Nothobranchius furzeri: one gene and its partner. The protein of the gene in region 2 binds, or shares a complex with, the protein of the main gene of each other region. Links are inferred from orthologs where the notes say so. Each region holds a gene or a part of one and is shown on either strand. Other genes may lie near its edges. The genes, in order: mterf4 and nsun4.

The links.
Region 1: the proteins of nsun4 (region 2) and mterf4 are in contact, whole or in part, in a crystal structure (PDB 4FP9), measured with the Homo sapiens proteins. The link is inferred for Nothobranchius furzeri from reciprocal best matches to the Homo sapiens genes NSUN4 and MTERF4. Residues at the interface, in NP_950245.2 of Homo sapiens: Pro61, Ser62, Arg64, Val65, Leu68, Ser69, Glu70, Arg136, Gly137, Asp138, Ile139, Arg141, Asn367, Leu368, Met369; in NP_872307.2 of Homo sapiens: Tyr267, Glu269, Arg270, Leu271, Gly272, Arg273, Glu311, Glu312, Val315, Phe316, Lys318, Leu319, Arg322, Glu323, Glu326.

What each region holds. Positions count from the first base shown.
Region 1 is NC_091751.1:55,898,758-55,909,624, reverse strand, and holds the start of mterf4 (transcription termination factor 4, mitochondrial), read right to left. Parts: upstream 6,027-10,867; 5' UTR 5,927-6,026; coding exon 5,903-5,926; intron 5,708-5,902; coding exon 5,281-5,707; intron 5,200-5,280; coding exon 5,015-5,199; intron 1-5,014. Other genes in the region: pask (PAS domain-containing serine/threonine-protein kinase), read right to left, coding at 6,814-6,980, 7,064-7,213, 7,288-7,421, 7,989-8,188, 8,269-8,403, 8,477-8,602, 8,689-8,856, 8,931-9,073 and 3 more. UniProt on the Homo sapiens protein: Regulator of mitochondrial ribosome biogenesis and translation. Binds to mitochondrial ribosomal RNAs 16S, 12S and 7S and targets NSUN4 RNA methyltransferase to the mitochondrial large ribosomal subunit (39S).
Region 2 is NC_091751.1:73,206,123-73,217,152, reverse strand, and holds the start of nsun4 (5-methylcytosine rRNA methyltransferase NSUN4), read right to left. Parts: upstream 5,975-11,030; 5' UTR 5,924-5,974; coding exon 5,828-5,923; intron 5,028-5,827; coding exon 4,814-5,027; intron 2,215-4,813; coding exon 2,064-2,214; intron 1,994-2,063; coding exon 1,839-1,993; intron 1-1,838. UniProt on the Homo sapiens protein: Mitochondrial RNA cytosine C(5)-methyltransferase that methylates cytosine to 5-methylcytosine (m5C) in various RNAs, such as rRNAs, mRNAs and some long non-coding RNAs (lncRNAs).

The DNA of each region.
Region 1 (10,867 bases), about 17 Mb from region 2:
AGCAAAACCTACATATGACTGTTTAAATCAGCAGCAATGTAGTTGTGTGTTTACAAAAGATCAAGTAATTCCTTATTTTTTGTGTGTGTGTGTGTGTGTGCACAAGTTGGTGGTCAAACTTTTATGACTCATCCTTTGCTGTAATATTTAGTCATGTTTTGAGGAAGTCAATAAATCAGAATTGGTCTACTGTGTAAATTCTAATCAAGTGTGTGACCTTCACATATCAGTCAGAGAATCAACAAATTACGCAGCGATGTGGCATCTATTAACATATTTAGAATACATGTAGGTCATACAGTGCTCAGCATAAATGAGTACACCCCCTTTATAAAGTACAAATTTAATCAGTAGCTCAGTGAACAAAAGAACAATTTCCAGAATTTTCACAAGACTGGGTTTTAGTGAACACTTGTTTAACCCCATAACATGAAATTACGATTAATAATATAACTTAGATCACAAAATCTTCAGCTTTACTAAAATTGGTTGAAGTAAAAATGAATACACCCCGCAACAATGACCACTAGGGATGTGTACTGGTGAAACTCTGACAACACGGTACGTATCACGATACAGGGGAGACAAGACGATATATTGCGATACATTCAGTCAGACGATATTGGCTTTTTTTGCCAACAACGCCAAATGTGGCAAGGTGGAGAAACGAGGGCCAGGGCGGGATTGGATCCCCAGACTCCCGGGTTGGAGTCATGCGTGCTTACCAGTCAGCCAAAGGGACATCCCTTTGGCCAAGTAGCCAGGCCGCATGATCAATCGAGACACAGCGAAAGGATGCCCAAACTGCCACATATTTATTGTTTGTTCATTCAGTTTTATTTATTTATAAGTTCTGATTCTGGACATACCAATGTTAAATAAAAGTTTAACTGTTGCATTTTAAAGGGTGTACTTGCATTATTATGATTAGGGATGGTCTGATCCGACTACATGACCGGAAATCGTCCCGATCACGTGTTTTTATAAAGGATCGGAATCGGGAGAAATAAAATGGATTTAACCTTTTAAAACAACAAACGTGACTTTTTAAATTAATCCTGAGATAGAGATTTTCAAATTAAATAAAAATGATTTAGTTTTAATTTCAGTTAGTTCCTCTACATCAATAATATTTGTTTCTTGTATGAAAACAACTCAGTAACGTCACACAATTTACGGCAGGCAAGGACTCAGCAACTTTGTCGCTCTTCCTAATGACTTTTTGACCCCCCTCAACGACTTTTTTTCCAAAAAGCGCCTAGCGACAAACCTAGCGACATTTCTCAGGACACTGCTACTTTCTGTAGAACTTTCTTGTAGATATTCCCTACAGATTAGCAACAAAGAAACCATTTGCACTCTGAACCGGTCTTCCAGGAGTAAGGAAAGAGAACGATAATCTGCACACGTGCATGAGAACTGACCAATCATAAACCATTTTCGGCTGGGCGAAGACAAAGGTACAGCTGCAGAGCTGGAGACCGCCGACTTACGTCTGCTGCTGCTGCAGGCTCACGCTTCTACTAGAGACAGCACAGGCGTCAACCTGTGATCTCTGGTTCTGCAGCCGTCAGACACTTTGGTTTTTCCTGCATTTGGCAAATAAAGTCAACGGGAGTCTCAACTACCGTCCCGTTTACACACGCAGCGCTGTGGCTCATCTGAATTTCCTTCAGTGACACAGGGATGGTTATACCACGAGACACCCGCTCCCTTTTGCTCGGTGCGCCGTTATTATCACGATGGAGAGAAAACACAACAGAGAAGTTGAGTTGTGAGGTGCAAAAAAAAAACCCCCAGCTTTTTAGGAAAATGTCTGTGAGAATGAGGAGAGCAGGTCTGAGTTATATCCTACAACAGAACTGTTTGGATCACCACACCATATCTGTCTTAATGCCACTTTATTGGTAGTTTTGGAATTTATTTTACATATCAAAGCAATTTGGGCCATTTTAATCATGCTAATTAATAACATTAACACATGAAATAGTTTTTTATTTTCTTCCCTTTTAGTCCTAAAAAGACCAACATGTTTTTAAAATCTTCAGTATATATATATATATATACAGTACATATATATATATATATCTTTTAGATGCTACGGGGAAAATGAAAGCAATGTGGCGTGATGATGACATAAATATGCAAATTAGCATTTGACATCATCTGGCGACATCTGGGTGACTTTCTGGGTCAACTTCAGCTACTTTCTATCAGGGGGAGTTGGCAACACTGAAGCCTGCTAACACAGAGCTAACGTGTCTCCTCAGGAGAGCAGAAATATCTACAGCTTGGTGGTATTTTAAACCGGACAGCAAAGGCAGAGCTACAGACACTTGTAGTGTGTGCATATTGGGCGTTCAACATACTGGAAACAGCTCCATGATTCGCTGCCTTCAAACAAGCTACTTTTGCTGTCGGCTTTTCCCTTCGGGCATCAACAAATCTAATCACCGGTCTCCATTAATCCCCAGTTTACCTCTAACAGTCACAGTTCAATATGAAGTAACCACCTCTTAGTGCAATACTGGCACCAACTGGAAAGGAGTGGGACTGGGAGCGAGAACCTAATTGTCAAATTCTGTCAATATAGAAAACAAAGAAAATAATAATAACAATATTACAGAAATGTTCTGTAGGCCTGGAGTTAAGTTTTAAAGGCACATGTTGCCACCTACTGTCTTGGGGTTTGTAACCCCAAGCCTTTTATGGACAATGGAAAGTAAATTTAAAAGGGTGGGGTGGCCAATCAGATTCCAAAGGTAGCATGTGCTACCCCAGGCCACTCCCTGGACAAGCCCTTGGCACGGGAGCTGTGCACTGACGCTACAGGTGTTATGCAGAGAAAAGTTACCTGCCTGCCAAAGGCTGACCTTCAGCTGCATATTGAGGGAGTAAACAACTTGAAATAGACCCTTTTACTGTTTGTAAACAATATGACGTCAGCGAGAATGCGCGCGCAGCTCGGCAACAGAGAATGGCGTTGTGTCAGGCTTTATCAAGCTACGCTGCGGGGTTATCACCGGCAAATCTTGAATGTTATATTATTAAACTCACTTTAACGAATGGCAACATACTCCCAGATCCCTGTGGCATTACGGAATGGGTGGAAGATGTAGGTGCGTGGGCAGATATCCAGTGGCCCGATATATATACGTTTTTAGTGGAGAGGCCCAGTAAGTACACACGTGAGAAGCTACGGGCATACAAATCGTTAGATGCATACAACTATGTTGTCTGTGGCCACGTACAGAAAGTAAAATATCACGACATAGACTCTGAGTTTTGCGTCTTGAAGGCAGAAGTCCTTCCTAGCCAAAGACAAGGACACGAGACAGCTACGTACGAGGCTTGGGTCAGAGTAAACAAACCAGAGAACTACGTCTTCACAGCCAACTGTACCTGCATGGCAGGGTGAGTATAGCATAGGTTTCTTTTTTTAGCGTGCTCAGAGTACAATCGTGTTAATTTTAGAGAAATACAGTTTATACTAATATGCAGTGGGAAAATACAGATGAATTAGAATGAAATGTTAATTTGAAGCATGAAATAAAGCGTATAAATTTGTTTAATTCTGTCATTTTGATGTTCCAGACTTGGGTCATGCTGCAGCCACGCAGCAGCAATTTTATTCAGAGTTGAGCTTTGTGTTAGGATGGGGAAAACGGAAAAGGCTGCAGTTACCCTTTTGATGGCCTGCAGCCACAGGCGCCTCCGATTTTGTTGAAATGGATGTGCTCCCTTCGGAATTCTGTAAAGGTTCAGTCCACTGCTTGAAGAGAAGCGATTCTGGCATCCATACACGCAACAACCCGACATTTTTATGTGCTCAGAACTTCAAAACAAAGGGTTTAAAACGCTGTTTTAGTATCGAGCGTGAATGAGGAAGCCGTCGCTCTCGTTGCCAGGGTGCGTGCGCAACTTTTGATGACGTAGGTAGTAAAAGGGTCTATTAGAGCAACACTGCTACTTTGAAGTATATTCACAGTAGAAATAAGTTTTTTAATCGGTGTACTTCCTACAAAAATTAAAGTGGACAATTTGAATGTGTTTTCTTCTGATTTTAGTGCTTTCCTGACCCCCCCCCCCCATTTTTTTCTTCTTATTTTAATGCCTTTCTGAAAAGTATCGGATCGGGAGCAAAAAAAACGTGATCGGAATATATCAACATTACATTAGTGGTTATTTTGGTCTCGATAATGTCGACAATAATATTGTTGATCGTCAATAATTTGTTGGACAATATATCGTCCAGCAAAATTTATTATCGTCCCAGGCCTACAGTCACCTGTCTGCTGGACACCTGATTAGACTCACTAGTGGTTGAATGTCTGTTAATTTGAATTTTGTAGAGTGACTTTTCTCCTGAGACTATAATTGGGGTGTACTTATTTTTGCAACATAGGTTTGAATGGATTTGTTAGGAAAATCATTTTTTCGTGTGGGAAAATGAACAAATCTTGTTTGCAATCAATGGCCCACGTTTGTGGGAGTTTTTTTAGTGTGGTATCTCATAGAAAATGTGGATTCTGAAAGGAAACTAAAGGTTTTCTGACAAATGTGGTGGGGTGTACTCACTTATGCTGAGCACTGTATTTTTAACTTCACATACGTATTTCAGTTGTTTTGCAGTAAATGGCCCATACTTCTATAGCGCCTGAGTTCTACAACCCCCCAAAGCGCTTCACAACACAATCAGTCATCCATCCAATCACACACACACATTCACACAGTGGTGATGATGAGCTACAATGTAGCCACAGCTGCCCTGGGGCATGGACAGAGGCGAGCCCTGCCATATACCGGTGCTCCGACCACCACCTGCAGCCAAGGTGGGTTATGTGTCTTGCCCAAAAACACAACAGCAGCAGTCTCTTGTGGGAGCCGGGATTGAACCTGCAACCTTCCGAATACTGGACAACCTGCTCTACCTCCTGAGCTACTGCGGTCCCAATTATGAAGGCCCATCAGTTTCACAAAAATATTTTTGTTCAACTCTGCTCAACTTCCTGACCTGAAACTTGTACTCCAGCTGAAGCAGGTCCTCCAGGACTACTGCTGGTGTGTCCCTGAGGATATCCGTCACCTGCTGGGTGGTAAACAGGCACTTCTCTCGGAGAAACTGCACAACGTTTTTTACTGACTTCACAGGTACAGTCAGGATTTTGGGGTAATGGACCACCATCCTCTGAAGACTTCCTGTCAGACAAATGAGAGGACAGAGACGTGTTTACAGAATCGTGAGCCAGTTTTTCCATTATGTTAAAATGATGACCTCACCTTCGACCAAACCCAGCTTCCTCAGGTGATCTATGCGCTGCTGCAGCAGCGTTTCTTTAACGATGTAAAGGTCTGGACATATGTCCAGCATTTTCTGCACACTTGTGGGGTTGAGGCCCAGGACGAAGAGAACTGTGAGTGTCGATAAAACTCTTTTGACAGAACTTTCTTTTTTAATTTCAAACACAGAGTCACATATGTGCCTCGCCTGGGAATCTGTGAATCCCATTTCAAGCAAAGAGCTGAGGGAGAGCTCGGTTATTGGTTTATCGGATTCAGGAGAACAGTTGTGTTGTGGTGACGCAGCCGTCTTGTGCGGAGGGGAACACAAATACCTGCACTGGATGCATGACAACGGGAGGCGGTATCTCTTAAAGAGAGGACTGAACCCAGAGTAATAGACATTTTTTACAGTCCACCGAAGAACCTATGGAAATAAATCATTATAAACACGTTTGATCTCAAAAGGATAACAATGACATCACTTAAAAAACAATAAAGTTGCACAAGTCAAAATTGTAAATTACAATATGCGACTTTTGGACTAATTATAGCAAAACGTGAATTCCGTCGACTTAAAAACACGTTGTATTCCATAAATTTTAGGTTTTTTTTTACTCACCTGATGTGCTACACGGGTTCCCATTTCTTGTCCGTTACGTATTGTCTTCCGTCAGGATACACGAGTTGCCCTTTTCGTCCGTTGCACATCATCTTCCGTTAGAAAATGACACATAAACGGTTCCGCTATTGGTGGTTAACGTAGCGCGCACTCCCCAAAATGCAAAAGGGAACATATTAAACATGAGAATTACTTATTTACAAATGAAATTTCTGTATTCATTTTCCCAGAACTTTTACAAGCTCTGAAACAATTGTTTTAGTCAATATAGGCATAATTAAAAAAATAAACTCAACACACTTTAATATAAAGCCCCATTTGCCCTATTTACTCACCAATTGTTAGCAGGCAAAGCAAATGCTATTAACTTCATATTGGCGTTTAACTCTAAAGGGTTAAGGTCACTTGATTCGGTTTCTCTGTAAAAAAATGAAAACGGTGCTACAAACTCACAAGAAGTACAAGTCCTTCTATCTTTATTAGCAAGGCAATTCATTCATTAATGTTCAAAAGGCCCAACACATTTGTAGCAGCATAGTGAAGATATTTATTGATGTAAAAAATAAATATAAAAATATTGTAAATATACTTACATGCAGGTAAAATAGAAAAGATTTCAAGATAAATTTGAACAAAAATTACCAAAAAGAAAATGCTACTGTTCATAAAAAATAAAAAACCTAAAAACACTATAAAAGAAAAACAGCTGCAGACAATTCAAAAGTGTCTGATTATGACTGGCAGGCCACACTGTGACGAGTCACAATGCCACTTTGGTTCTAAAACCTTGGTCTACATAGAAGATTTAATTAATATCTTGAATTAAAAGCAAGCTTTTCTTTTGACTTTCACTTTCCTCCCACAGTTGATCAAAAATTATAATAGCCAATTAGATTTCCTTCTCTTTAAATTTAGTCTTCATTCCTCTGGAGGTATTTCTGAAGCTCATTTTGCAGAGCCATCCTCTCGTCCTCATCCTCCTCTTCCTCCTCAGGTAGAGACTCATCTCCATAATCTGGGAACAAGTCTGGTCTGATGTACGCATTAGGACTGGTTTCTTGATGGTGTGATGTGCCTGCTGGAAGAAAAGAATCCCCTTAATAGTTGAAAAAAAAAAGTTGTTGTTAAAAGTGTCTGACCGTGGTGCTGATGAGGACTCACAGAGGCTCTGGTTTGCAGAAACCACCTCTGACCAGCTGTACTCTGAAAGGGAGATGGGCTGGCTTATCCAGGCCTGCAACAGGAGCTGGTCTAAGGTCATCCTCTTTGTGTGATCGGGGTGCAGCAGGCCACGCAGCAGCGCATGCAGTTCTGAGAGTAAACAGAAGGTACATGACTGGAATGCAAAAGGATAAGCTAGCAAAATAATGAATTAAAATATATACCAGAGGACAAGGGGAATGGGGGCTTTAGTTTGGCATCCAGTATTTCCCCCACATCACAGAAAGGGTTCTCACTGAACAGCAGAGTGTATAGTAAAACCCCCAGAGACCACATCTCAAGCTCTGGACCCTTGTAGCTAGAAAAGAGCCCAAAACATGATCAGATAAGGTGATAACATGCATTATAGGAATCATGGTGACATTTTAACAGCAGTTACCAATCTTTAATGACTCAAGTCCATTAGAATATGCAGGAGGTAGCCAGAGAGGAAAGCGAGACTGCAGCATCTTCTGTGACCTTTCGCACATTTGTGATTTCAACATTTACATTAAGCATGGGTAAAACACATGCTAATGAGTATCTACAGAGTGTTTTAACTGGGTAGGAAATTACTGCAGCCATCCCGGTGGTTTTACTTTAGTTCATATTTCATGAAACTGAAGATGGCTTTTTACTTTATGTGTAGTGGGACACAACCTTGCAGCTGTGTACACCCACACATTGTTGTAGACCACATGGGAGCTGATTGACAAAGACAAATTGGAGCGGTTGTTCAATTTTAATGTCCTCAGATAACGCAGATCCAGATGAACCCAGCTAGCTTTTAAAAAACACAAGTTGAACAGTAAAAAGGAAAGTCTTGCTCTTTAACCCATAAAGTCTATAAAACAAAATAAAAAGTAGCTTATTATTAAATACTCACGGATTGCCCTGGAGCACCTCTGGGGAACAGTACTCCATCGTGCCACAGAAATTATAAAAGAGCTTCCCAGGAACCAGTATGGCAGCAGAGCCAAAATCTATCAGTCGAATGTGAAAACATTTGTCAATTATGATGTTTTCATCCTTTATGTCCCTGTGGATGATGTTCTTGCACCTCAGATAGAAAACAGCTGCAACAATCTGGAGGGGAGACAAGAATATCACATTTGCTCTAAGAGCGCCCTTTACCCGTCATTAGTACTGCTGGGACTTTCACACACCTGTCTAAAGATGTAGCTGGTCAGGGGCTCGTCAAGCCTTGGCTGCATGTCGATGAATTCAAAAAGGTCCAAACCATCTCCATGCTTCTCCATCACCATCTGGAAATAACTTCCATTTTCAAACACCTCCAACACCTGGAGAAGGACGAATATTTGTAAAAACAGAGAATTCAATGTCATATTTTCCTCAAAGCAACAATGCAGTTACCTTGACGATGTTATGATGCTGCACTCGAGTCAGTATGGCGATCTCCTGGCTCACTCTGCCCAACATGGGGTCGTCCACCCAGCAGTCACTCACTATCCTGGCCTTGCTAATGAACTTCACTATCACCTGCAAAATGTCCACATCTTTACAATCTCATCGTCTTAAAGAAGCCAAAAAGAAAAAAGCTACAAAGATAAAGCTTGAGCTCTCACTTCTTGTCCGTTACAGCGTCTTATTGCCTTCCAGACAAACCCAAAAGCTCCTTTACCCACAGCTCTGATTGGCTGGTATTCTTCTTCAAACTGTCCGTCGCAGGCTCGAGAGTGCTCGAGGTCCACCGTGGAGCGCAGCACTTCTCCTACACCAGCCTCATCAATCCTCTGATGAAAGAAACAAAGATTAGAACGAGGAACACGATGAGTTCTAATGTGCTGTGGTCACAAGTGCCACTGACCTTTCCTGAACTGTTTCCTGATTGGTTTTGAAGCGATAGATCTGTTTGCAACAACGCCCCCTGCTGGCTAGACCTTTTAATCCACACGCAGAACATGAAACTTCCATCTGGGAGGTTGGACCGGCACACATCACACTGCACCTCTAGATGTAGAGAGGGAAAAATAAGAAACTTTTAGCCCTGCAGTTGTGTTTGAGGTTTTAATGAGTAAAACAGATCAAAAGTAGGAACTTTATTACTAACCTACTCTTGTGCCATCTCTGTGGTATCCACATCCTTCAACTCTTCCCTCCAGTATGCGTGTATGTGAAGATAGAATGTGTTCATTTGCTTTCTGCTTCTTAGGCGTTGACGTGGCAGGCATGTCCGTCAGAGGCCCAACCGCACTGTTCACCTGCCCTGAGCTCTCTTGGCTCTTTGCATTATGAATAACAGACAAAGCTGCCCACTGATCCTGCTCCTGAGCTGGACCTTTCCTCGTCTCTGCGGCGGGGGGAACAGACGCTTCATCATCGTCAGACAGCACCACACATGGAGAAGGTGTTCGTAGGAGCTCAGCTGTATCACAAGACAACGCGGAGTGCTGGTTGTTCCCATTGGAACCTCCGGTGCTGAGCAGCTCCATACTACCACTGAGATTGAGCTCATCCAGAGCACGGGTGATCACATCTCCATCACTGTTGATGTCCAGGAAGCAACTAGCTGAGTTCACAAAATGTTTTGAATTGAACTCGTCTGCTTGGGCAGGATGAGGACCAGCCTGACCAGCGAGATGTTCACAGAAGCCGGAAGAAGCCGATCTGACAGAATATAATTGAATAAACTTAGTCACCAGTGAACTATATGAATTATGCAGAGTAATGTTTGAAGTTTCCATTAACCCCTCACCTGCTATCCAGTGTGATGATCTCAAAGCTTGAGTCTTGGAGGACAGAAGTGTAGGAGTGATGCTCTTTTTCTACATTAACAGCATTGCCCTTACGAGGAGTGTCTACAAAACAAACAGAAATGCAGAAAAAAAAACTTTATTTAATCGTATCAAATGTTTTCTTACTTGTTTAATACACCTTGGTGAATGTTTTGAGTTGAAACAGCTGCAAACTAATTTAAAAGAAAAGACAATTAAGCCAAAAGTCGCACCAGGAATAATTCTAATAGCAGGTGCATTATTTTCCGGAGCCACATTGCCCAGATGCTCTTCTCCGTTATGATGAGATGGTTCAGTGGGAACCAAACAGCAGGTGTCTTCATCTGGAGGCTCCACCCAAGCAAATGTCTTGAGAAGTGCCTGAGTATTATCTGCACAATCCAGCTGGCTACAGCAGGGAGCTGCACGGACCGCTTCCTCAATCAGCTCGGTGGTGTCGTTGGCCCTAAAGGAAAAGGTAAACGGTTCAGTCCAGCTGTTAGGTAGTCAGGCAGCATCAACCATCAAAGCTTTGACCCAGCTATAGAGGAGGAACATGTTTAAAATAAAGTTAATACCAAAATAAAGAACTATTAGATCATCTTTACTAAGCATCACTCATAGAAATATAACCCCACATCAAATGGATAATAGTGTTACATTACTTATAAAAAAAAGTTACAATACCAATGTTCTGGTTTGAATTAACAACAAAAGCCTAAAAAAACAAACAATAAACTAGTAATGAGAGAATGAGGCAGAGCAACCATCAGGTTTGACAATGAAGCTGCTGCTCAGTGTACAGATTCACTGCAAAATGCATTAAATATACATGCAGTCCAATGCTTTTAGCTGCTGGCTTGTTTCTGCAGGATTTGCCTGTTCAGCATTTACAATAGATCAGACCATGTAGACGTCTACAATTTATTCTCTCTGCAAACATATATAACCTTTAAGTCTTATTAACATACAGTCATATTCAATAAATGTTAGTCTGCAGGACAAAAAAAACCCAGCAGCAATGAATGCG
Region 2 (11,030 bases):
CTTAAAACATTTTTATTTGATAGGGCCTATAGTTAAAATCTGATGTTAGCCTAGATCTGGACAAGTGGGGGAGTAGAGGGAGGTGGAGTGTACAGTCGGTAAAGACGGCTCTCCCTTGCCCTGCCTCCAACATGCCTCCATCTAAATAGGATAGATTATCCAGAGTTATCTCTGTAGTTATGCTGCTATAGGCTTAGACTGCTGGAGGATACACTGACCATTTTTCACACTCTACTGCTTTCTTCTACAACACATATGTCAGACTCAAGGCCCACGGGCCAGATGCGGCCCGCGGAGCATTTTTATGTGGCCCGCGAGATAATTATCAAAAATATATTAAAACTGGCCCGCTGGCCAATGATACCGCAAAGACTTCAACTCCCATGATGCTTTGCGGCGTCAGCGCGGAGCCGATGCGCCCCCTCCTTTGTGTTTTTCAGCGCCTGCTGCCGGTCTCTGCAGCTCCGCTGTCTCGGACAAACTACACTCCTCTCACTCAGCGCCGAGTTCACTCAGCTGTTTTCTGACGTTGAAGCCCAGAAACGGAGATTCTAGCTGCTCAGTAATGTGTTCACGACTGAAAGAGAAAGTTTTCCAGCTAACGTCCAGACAGAGCTGATATAACTCCAGCGAGCAGCGACACGCTCAAACCAGCACGGCTCTGTGGTTGTGTTTCCTCCCCGACACACACCGACGTGGTCAAGCTGCTCAGACATGTTCATCAGCACAAACCTATGTGAGCACCTGTTGTCATCTAATGTTGTCATTATTATGATGAAGATGAACAAAACAACAGGAGTCTCCTCCTCAGCTCAGATCAACCCCATGATGCAGGTATCTGGCTGGAACAGGTGAGCATCACAGTAAACCAGTGGAGCAAACTGAGCTTTAAATATGTTGGTTTGATGCTCTTTTTCTGCTCCAAAACATGAAAGTTAACAGGTGAGATGTTGCATTTTCATTTAAGATAAAATGATATTTTTATTTAGTTGTTGGCCCGTGAGAAAAGATTTAACCTACAGTAAACAGGAAGTGGAAAGGCTGCAGATGGATGACTAGAATAGAAAATCCCTTTATTGTTCCTCAGTGGGGAAAGCTAGACGTCACAGCAGCGATGACACGTATTACAGGAGAAAAAAGGAGAATAAAAAATAAGAAAAATGAATAAACAAGAAAACATAAATCCTGAATAGATTTATAAAATGCTGATTATACCACAAGTAATGAATACCACTGATGCCTTTCTGACTTGCTCGAGTGTAATTTGGTTATTCCACATTTAGTGTTAATGCAGAAATAAGTTTGTTTCCAAATTTAAAGGTTCAAAATTGCATATATGTTGATAAAGAAAATGTGCTAATTTGCGTCACTTTTTCAAAAAATATTAAGTTTGGCCCTCGACTCCGTCCCAGAGTTTCATTTCGGCCCCGTGTGAGTTTGAGTTTGACACCCCTGGTCTACAATCTGCTCTTTAACTGTACTAGTTCCTGCTATTTCAGCTGTTAACTTTATTTTTATGGCTGCTTATACTGAGCCAGGATCATCTGGAGGTTTCTTCCTGTTAAAAGGGAGTTTTCCTCTCCACTGTCGCTGCATGCTTGCTTAGTATGAGGATTGCTGTAAAGACTCTGACACTAGTCAGTGACTCGATGCAACCTGCTGGTTCCTTATATAGGAAACTTGTTACTGACTGGCTTAATGACCTGACCTGTACTGTATGTTTACCATGTGAAGGTCCTTGAGACGACTCTGGTCCTGATTTGGTGCTTTAGAAATAAACTGAATTGAACAGCAGGAGAAAAATCACCACGTAAGAATCTGGTGAGGAGTTCACTCACTGATCAGCTGAGTCTGGAGCAGAGCAAGGGTCTTCCCACCAGGAGCAGCGCAGAGATCCAGGACTGTGTGACCCTTCTGGACATCCAGCGCGAGACAAGGCAGTATGGATGCAGCGTCCATCAGGTAGTACCCCAACAGGCCATACCTGTCCGGCCTTTGATGGATAGAAGGAACTCGGATGAGACTGGACTGGATGATGACACCTGATTAGGACTCATCCTCACCTTGCAGGCTTGAACCGTGTGACATCCCCTCTTGGAAACACGAAGCACTTTAGGTGTGGACTAAGCTGTGGAGGGTACTGCTGCTGACTAAGAAACTCCAGTGATGTCATAGAAACCTCACACGACCCTTCTTCAGCCCCGAATACCAGGCCTGCAGAAAAGATGACAACGGTTCAGCTAATCGCCAAATTTAAACTTTTCAATTCAATTCAGTTTATTTCTGTAGCTCCACATCAGGACCAGTCGTCTCAAGGACCTTCACACAGTAAACACTCCAACACAGGTCAGGTCATTAAAGCTGCTTTCCGGAGGTTTCCTCTTTCAGAAATTATGCATGATTTGTCAGAAATCCGGAAAAGTGATGATCTCATCATGTCCTGTGATGTAATACATGCAATACGTCTTTTTTTTGTTTGCTAAGCACGCCCCCTGCCCGGCAGAGCTCCGTGCAATAGGAAGCTGAGCGCCGACCAGAACTAACCAATAGCGTTAGACTTCTGCTTAGACCTCGGCTGATGCAGAGTTGATGAACTTTTCACGGACAAGTAAGTCTCTAAAACATGAATATGAGAACACAACATGACATGAGAGTAAAACTCGTACAACAACATGTTTTAGCTCCGTTTGTCGCTACAGAAGCACGTTTATAAACAGAAACGTGAAGTCGTCATCTTAAAAAACAGAGGAACAGCAGCTTTGTGTGATACGCTTGTCAGCCACTAGATGGTGCCATCGGATAAGAGAAATACTCCGGAAAGAAGCTTTTAGCCAATCAGTAACAAGTTTCCTATATAAGGAACCAGCAGGTTGCATCGAGTCACTGACTAGTGTCAGAGTCTTTACAGCAATCCTCATACTAAGCAAGCATGCAGCGACAGTGGAGAGGAAAACTCCCTTTTAACAGGAAGAAACCTCCAGATGATCCTGGCTCAGTATAAGCAGCCATCCTCCACGACTCTCACACACACACACACACACACACACACACACACACACACACACACACACACACACACACACACACACACACACACACACACACACACACACACACACACACACACAGACAAAGTAATGTGTCTACAGTTATATTGTGAAGTCTTAGTAAATATTCTATGTGGTGAAAGATAAACTTTATTGTATTTATCCTAGTGGTTCTATAATTAAACGGGTAAACTAGTAGTAGCACATCCAACGTCAAGGACAACAAAAAGTTATTATCAGGAGAGGGAGAATGTTTAAGTGGTTAGCAGCAGTGTGCTAGACGATGGCCCCCTCCATGAGGCCACCACAGCTCAGCAGAACATCGTTGTAGCTTCTTCTGGGGAGAAAAACACTTAGAGAGAAAATAAAGTTAACTGTCGGCTAACTGAGTGCAGCAGCAGAGCAGTCGGATCCAAGCCGACTCGCTATGATTTAAGTAAGTGGTGTAAAAACCAAACACAGGCCTAACTCTGACAGAACCTACAGGCCACCATCAAAATGCCCAAAATGATTGTTTTGCTATTTTTCTTTTTTTATTACAATTTAAACCTGACAAGAATCGCTCCCTGGGCTGTCACCTCACTGTGGAGGGGGGGTTTGAGTCTCAATGATCCTAGGAGCTAAGTGGTCTGAGGCTTAATGCCTCTGGTAGGGTCACCCCTGGCAAACAGGTCCTAGGTGAGCAGCCCACAGACCCTCATGAAGAAAAATGTACAAGGAAACCGCATTCCCTCGCCCAGACGCGGGTCCCTGGGCCCCCCTCTGGAGACAGGCCTGCAGGCAGGGCAAGCTGACGAGCGCCTGGTGGCCAGGCTGAGTACAGCCTGAAGAGGAAACATGGGTCCCACTTCCCTCACCCCTCGTGAGAGGGGCCAGAGGGGTCAGGTGCAATGTGTGACGGGTGGCAGCGGAAGGCGGGGACCTTGGTGGTCTGATCCTCGGCTACGGAAGCTAGCTCTCGGTACGTGGACGGTCTCCTCTCTGGTGGGGAAGGAGCCTGAGTGGTTCTGACTAGATATGCATTAGAACATTTAGGCAGCCTAGTTAACCATCGTCATTTCCCCGTCCAACCCAAAGGGTTCAGATGAAGGCAGCTGGACTTCCTTGGTTTCCTGAAGACGTTTCTCTTCTCATCTGAGGAGCATTGTCAGTTCTAACTGGAATATGGAGGAGTCAAGCTTATAAGTCTGTTGTTGTCTAACGAGCAGAAACTACTCTGAGTACCCCTCCTCTCTACCCCCGATGAGTCGTTGTGTTGGTTAGAGACAGGAAGGTGTGGCCTAGACTGAAACTGCTTAGGAACGAAATCCAAAGCTGCATTACAGGTACTGGAAAGGTGAGATCTAAGCCACGCCCCTATTTAAAGTAGGTTTTTTAATGTTCAACATCGATTGCTTCTTTTACTCCTCTCTCACACCGTCTATCTTCTCTGGAGTGGAGGGGTACTCAGAGTAGTTTCTGCTCGCTGAATAACAGCAGACAGCTACAGCTGATAAGCTTGATTTTCCCATATTCCAGCCTGAACTGACAAAGCTCCTGGGATGAGAAGAGGAACGTCTTCAGGAAACCAAAGAAGTCCAGCTGAACCCTTTGGGATTGTCTAACATGATTTAACTACGTCTTTGTTTGGCGACACATGACTAAACGTGAGCATCTCTCTTCCTGTGCTGCTGAGAAAATGTTCTACCACTTTTGAGCTGCAGGTGAGGGCCACACATGGCCCCCAGGCCACCCTTCAGACCCCCCTTCAGTAAAGGCTCACATACGGTCCTGGTGGCTGATGAAGTCTCTGCATCCCTGAACCTGGAGGTCTTCCAGCACCAGATCGTGGGAGAAACTATTGAGCAGCGCTCCGTACTTCCTCTCTGACAGCAGGGCAACTCGAACCGACGGCCACAGTGGTCCTAGCTGAGCGCCGTAGGAGGAGTCAAAGTGCTGCAGGGCCAGGCGGGTGGGGGGGTGCTTAGGCTGGGTGGCGGCCTGTCCAAAGAGAAACCTAACATTAGTGTGAAATTTGACTTCAGGGTTGCTGTTACTTTACCGGTGTGACCTGTATTTCACCATGGGGACAACCTGAAGCCTCGAACAGTGAGGAGAATCTAGAAAGTTCCTGTCTGCTGGCACAAGATAGTGTCTATGTGTTAGAGAGGCCCCAAACCACAGTGGGATGGCGTCGGTGAGACCCTCCTCATGACATGCCACAACTCCATGGCCGGTTTTGATGCCTCATGTGTGTGTGTGTGTGTGGGGGGGGGCACACTCCCAATCAAGAGATCTAATCCTCCGGTTAAGAGGAGGACGTGGCTCCACACACGGTGCACGTGAGTTTCACCGAGCAGGCAGCCTACAGCACCCAGCATGAAAAACCTTTGGTGTGTTTTTGCTACGGTGGGTTGTAGTACACCTCCACGGCCGCGTGGTGGTGCACGCAGCTGCTTCAGTGTCTGCAGAAGAATAAACACTAAAGGGACTGCGTCCCCCGGTGGACTACATTCAGGCAGTAAGCCACCATGATCAGAATAGTTTCAGAAAAATGACCAAAAACAGAAATACCAAGAACCTACATTTTGTAAAACAGTAAATGTAAAATAGGATGGGCGATGTTAAAGACAGCTCAAGTATAAAACATAAGCAGTGCTTTACTTTTTAAACTAGCCAGCTAGACGTCGTGTTTCAGGCATTATTTATCAGGTGTTTGCTTCCTGAGCAGCGGCACGTCTGTCAAACGCACCGTTCCGCTGCTGTACTAGTTTACGCTGATGTAGGGCTTCGTACCGTACCCATTTCTCTTTCACTCGGTTCCGTCGAGGCGTCAGCCTGATCAGCTCGCAGACTTTTCTAAAGAAAACTGGAAACCTGTTCAAGAGCAGCGCCATGATCCCGTCCGTCAGCTTTTCCAGTCCGGCTCTAATCCTGTGTTCCAAACAAGGTTCCGAGTCGCTCACGCTCCGTCTCCTCAGAAGAGGACTTAGACCATCATTTTTGTGCAATTTTATACAAATATTTTGGTTAGATTTTCATGCCTGGCTTTGTTCTAGTGGGATGCAAATTGCCCCATTTACCTTAAATATGATAATGTTTGGAGTGTTTTTGACAGAAAAGAAAGTTAGTTATGGTGTTAATGTGTTATTAATTTTGTGTAAACAATTTATACATAAATGTCGATTTTTTTCAGACCAAACCAACTCTAGCCTATTGGAAAAACGACTTAAAATTATTAGTTAATCTTTGAATTTAGTCAAAAGGAAAAAGGTTGGTTTGTTTATTTCCTTTGTAGAAGATTTTGAGTTAGTAAATTAATAATCTGTTAATTATGTGACCCCATCTTTAGATTTTATTTTTTATTTTTTTCATATACGTGAAAATGTTTAATATGCATGTAATGATTATCTTTTGAATATATAATGTAAGGTGCATTTTGTTTGTATGTTATCTTCTCTAATAAAAAAAAAGCTCCGTCTCCTCCATTTCCGGTCGGCTCGTTGGTCGCCGGAAGCGTAATTTGGAGCGTTACATGTCCCCATGTCCCGACACATAGATATGTATGTAACATATCTATGTTTACATTAATACATACACATGAATATAAACACAGATATTAATATAAACATATCTATGTTTATATTTATGTGTATATATGAATATAAACATAGATATGTTTATATTAATATCTGTGTTTATATTTATGTGTATATATTAATATAAACATAGATATGTTTATATTAATATCTATGTTTATATTTATGTGTATATATGTTTATATACAATTCTATGTCTGCAATTGTGTCCAAACTCAGGGGCTGCTCTCGAGTAGCGGTCCTCACGGGTCTCAGGAGAACATGTTCTTCCATGACCGGTTAGACCGGATTTAACAGCTTTTGTTTTTATTGCAATTTCTCATGGAAACAACAACAAATATAGCAACATGCAAGGCATGAATCCTAACAGTAAAAAAAAAAGAAAAAACACAAGTTTAAAAAACAAAAAGAGGCACTTGTAAGTGAAAAGTGTTGCAGGATCAAAAACCTGTTAGCAGCAGGACAAATGGCTTCTGCAGCTGCATTGGAGTTTTAATGTGGATAAGAAGAAGACGAAGAAGAAAATATCATTTCTATAGCGCTTCTCAAGATAAAAAATTTTAAATATAAAAATAATTCAGAAAATGATTAAAAATATATTTAAAATGAGCAAAAATAGACAGTTGTGGTTATAAAATGTTAAGAAAGAGAGAGAGTGAACAAGAAAGAGGGAAATCAGTGGATCCTGAGGAAGGTGGAATAGGTGGGGAGAGCAGAACAAGGAGGATGAAGAAGGTCACACCAAAACCTGAACAGGTGAGTCTTCAGCTGCTTTTTAAAGGAGACCACTGAGTCCACTGATCTCAGGCTCAGGGGGAGAGAGGTCCAGAGTCTGGGGGCCACAGCAGCAGATGATCTGTCACCTTTGACCTTTAGCCTGGTGCTGCACGACCAGTAGGGTTTGGTCACTGGACCTCAGGGACCTGCTGGAGGTGTAGGGACTGTAGGTGTAGGGACGGAGAAGATTATAAGAACATACAGAATTCATTTATAAACCAGTTTAAATCTGGCAGTTGTTTATTATTATTATTATTATTATGAATAAATGCAACGTTAATTAAAGATGAAACAATACCGCTTGATTTAGTATTGTAAATAAGAATATGTTCATTTGTAAAATGATCAAGTTCTCTGATTTTATTTGCTAACAACAATGGAGTTCCCCCTAAACGTATCGCTAACAGGACAGCTGACTGATAGGGTTTCTGTCCCTTCAGGGCTTCCGTCCCTTCAGGGCTTCCATGACAGAGGTCGCAAGGGTCAACTTCAAAACCAGATCTACTCCTCAGTGTCTCTGCTGATGGATACGAGCTGTTAACCATCTTGGGCTGCATGGTGGTGCAGTGGTTAGCACTGTTGCCTCGCAGCACGAAGGTTGCAGGTTCAAAACTCGGCTGTGGCCTTTCTGCGTGGAGTTGCGTGTTCTCCCCATGCATGCGTGGGTTTCCTCCGGGTACTCCGGTTCCCCCCACAGATCACAACATGCCCTATAGGTTATAACCTGTACGTCGTTTTGGATAAAAGCGTCTGCTAAATAAATAAACATAAACATCTTAAATTGCATTTCTTTTACTTTGGGTGCTATTGTCCATTTAAAAAAATTAAATGTTTGTCTTGGATTTCCTAATATTTTTAATTCAAACTTTCTATCAAAATCATGATAGAAACATCCTTTAAAGCAGCAGTACTCAATAGGCGGCCCGCGGGCCACCTCCGGCCTGCGAGCCCTCTCTTTGTGGTCCCCAACCCCGCGCGCCCCCGACGGCTGATGGGAGGTTTAGGATAGAGCTGAGGAAAAGAATCAATGCACTGAGATGCGGGCATGAACGATTGTGTGTGAGCGAATGCAAGGCTTAGACACCCACAACCAGAGCCCCAGGCGGGTCTGCTCCCAATAAGGAACCGAGGCAGAGGTAGAGAAAAAAATAACTTCCTGCTCGAAGCGCTCAGTCAGACCGAGGGCTGTGATGTCGGGAGATCCGGTCTTGGGGAGGGGGCGGGGTCAGTGACGGCGGCTGCAGCGTAACCTGTCTCTTATTTAGAGACACGGAGAAGTTACAAGGAGAGAGAAATAAAGACAGAAGTTCTTGTTCCACTTTATTCTTTTGTTCCATGATGATAAACTGATGTTAAATTCAGCTGAAAGAGAAACTGGGAGGGAGCGTTGGTTCATTTTAGGTTACAGGAGGTCTTGTCTCCTACCTGCTCCTCCAGAGACAGCATGGACATGAGGGTCACATGGACATGAGGGTCACATGGACATGAGGGTCACATGGTGAGGGTCACATGGTGAGGGTCACATGGACATGAGGATCACATGGACATGAGGGTCACATGGTGAGGGTCACATGGTGAGGGTCACATGGTGAGGGTCACATGGACATGAGGGTCACATGGACATGAGGGTCACATGGACATGAGGGTCACATGGACTGAGGATCACATGGACATGAGGGTCACATGGACATGAGGGTCACATGGTGAGGGTCACATGGACATGAGGGTCACATGGTGAGGGTCACATGGTGAGGGTCACATGGACATGAGGGTCACATGGACATGAGGGTCACATGGACATGAGGGTCACATGGACATGAGGGTCACATGGTGAGGGTCACATGGTGAGGGTCACATGGACATGAGGGTCACATGGTGAGGGTCACATGGACATGAGGATCACATGGACATGAGGGTCACATGGTGAGGGTCACATGGACATGAGGATCACATGGACATGAGGGTCACATGGACATGAGGGTCACATGGTGAGGGTCACATGGACATGAGGATCACATGGTGAGGGTCACATGGTGAGGATCACATGGACATGAGGGTCACAGGACATGAGGGTCACATGGTGAGGGTCACATGGTGAGGGTCACATGGACATGAGGGTCACATGGTGAGGGTCACATGGTGAGGGTCACATGGACATGAGGGTCACATGGACATGAGGGTCACATGGTGAGGGTCACATGGTGAGGGTCACATGGACATGAGGATCACATGGACATGAGGGTCACATGGTGAGGGTCACATGGACATGAGGGTCACATGGTGAGGATCACATGGACATGAGGGTCACATGGTGAGGGTCCCACAGGGCAGGTTAGACAGGTGTTGTCCTGCTTTATATTGCAAGCTTGTGTGTTGTGTGTTCTACAGCCAGCGACCCACACAGCAGCACCCACCCCGGTCCGACCGGGCCTCTTGCTTCTGGGTCTTTTCTGAGTGGCCCTGGGACCGTTATAATGGAGGACCCCTGCTTTAAAGACTCAGTTTAAACATTTTATTTTCACACTTTCTGTCAGTAACGTTTCTTTCTCCTTTTGTTAAATTAGGATGTTTGGTTTGAACATTAGAGAAGAGTTGCCACCGGGACAGGCTTACAGGTTTTCCTCTATGGGAACGTTGAATGTTGTTAAATTTGTATTTAACATCTCGTGGTTGTAATATTCCACCACTCTAACCAGAATACCAGGCACAAAGAGAATTCCCTGGTCAAACGGCTGCTGGTGGAACAAAAACGTGTCTGAAACAAGTACTCGATTACTCCACAAGGTGGCACTACTGGGGCAAATTATGGGCAAATACATCTTCCGATGATGCAAAAGTTGTTTATGAAACTCAGGTCATGTAAAAGGCATCTTGGTGATTTCCAATCACATTTCAGAAGAAAGTTGAAGCCACCAAACATCTTAAAGACATTGTCTGGAGTTTGAAACCAAATTGGCTTAAATAGAAATTCTTTCAACCACTTTACTTTAAATGTTCCCAGCATTGCTTCAAAACCACTGATTTCACGCCTCCATCGTCACGTTCTTTAACCGACTGAGACAGTGATGAGTGGTTTTATTTCTCCACACAAGTTTGTATAATAGAGTTAATATTGTCCCAGTTTTTGGAGTGATGAAAGAGATGGACGCGGATGAATCAGCTGGGAAAACGCTCGGGCGATATTTTATTTCCTTTCTAACAGGAATTGACATCATTTCTTCACATTCAAACAGTGAAATTAATTCACGTGTTTTCGTGTTCAGATGAAAACCTGCTGCTCTGGAACAAAGTAAACCATCTAGTGCTACCATAGCTTTGTCCCCAACAGTTAAAGTGGTATCATCTGCAAACTGACTTCGGTGAAATTCATCATCAAGAAAATGATACCCTGGAAATTTGGATGATTTATGATCAGGTCTGCTAATAGTTGTGTAGATAAACAGCTCGGGGCTAAATGGGCATCTTATTCCACAGGTTGTATTTATTCTTCTGGTTAGTCCTGAGCTTAAGGAAACGTGCCTGCACACGTCTGAACAGAACATTTTATCACTGAACAACATTTATGATCAAAACCAAAATGTTAGCCGATTTTACGGCTGTGGATTTGGACAGTCTAGTTCCGCCATTT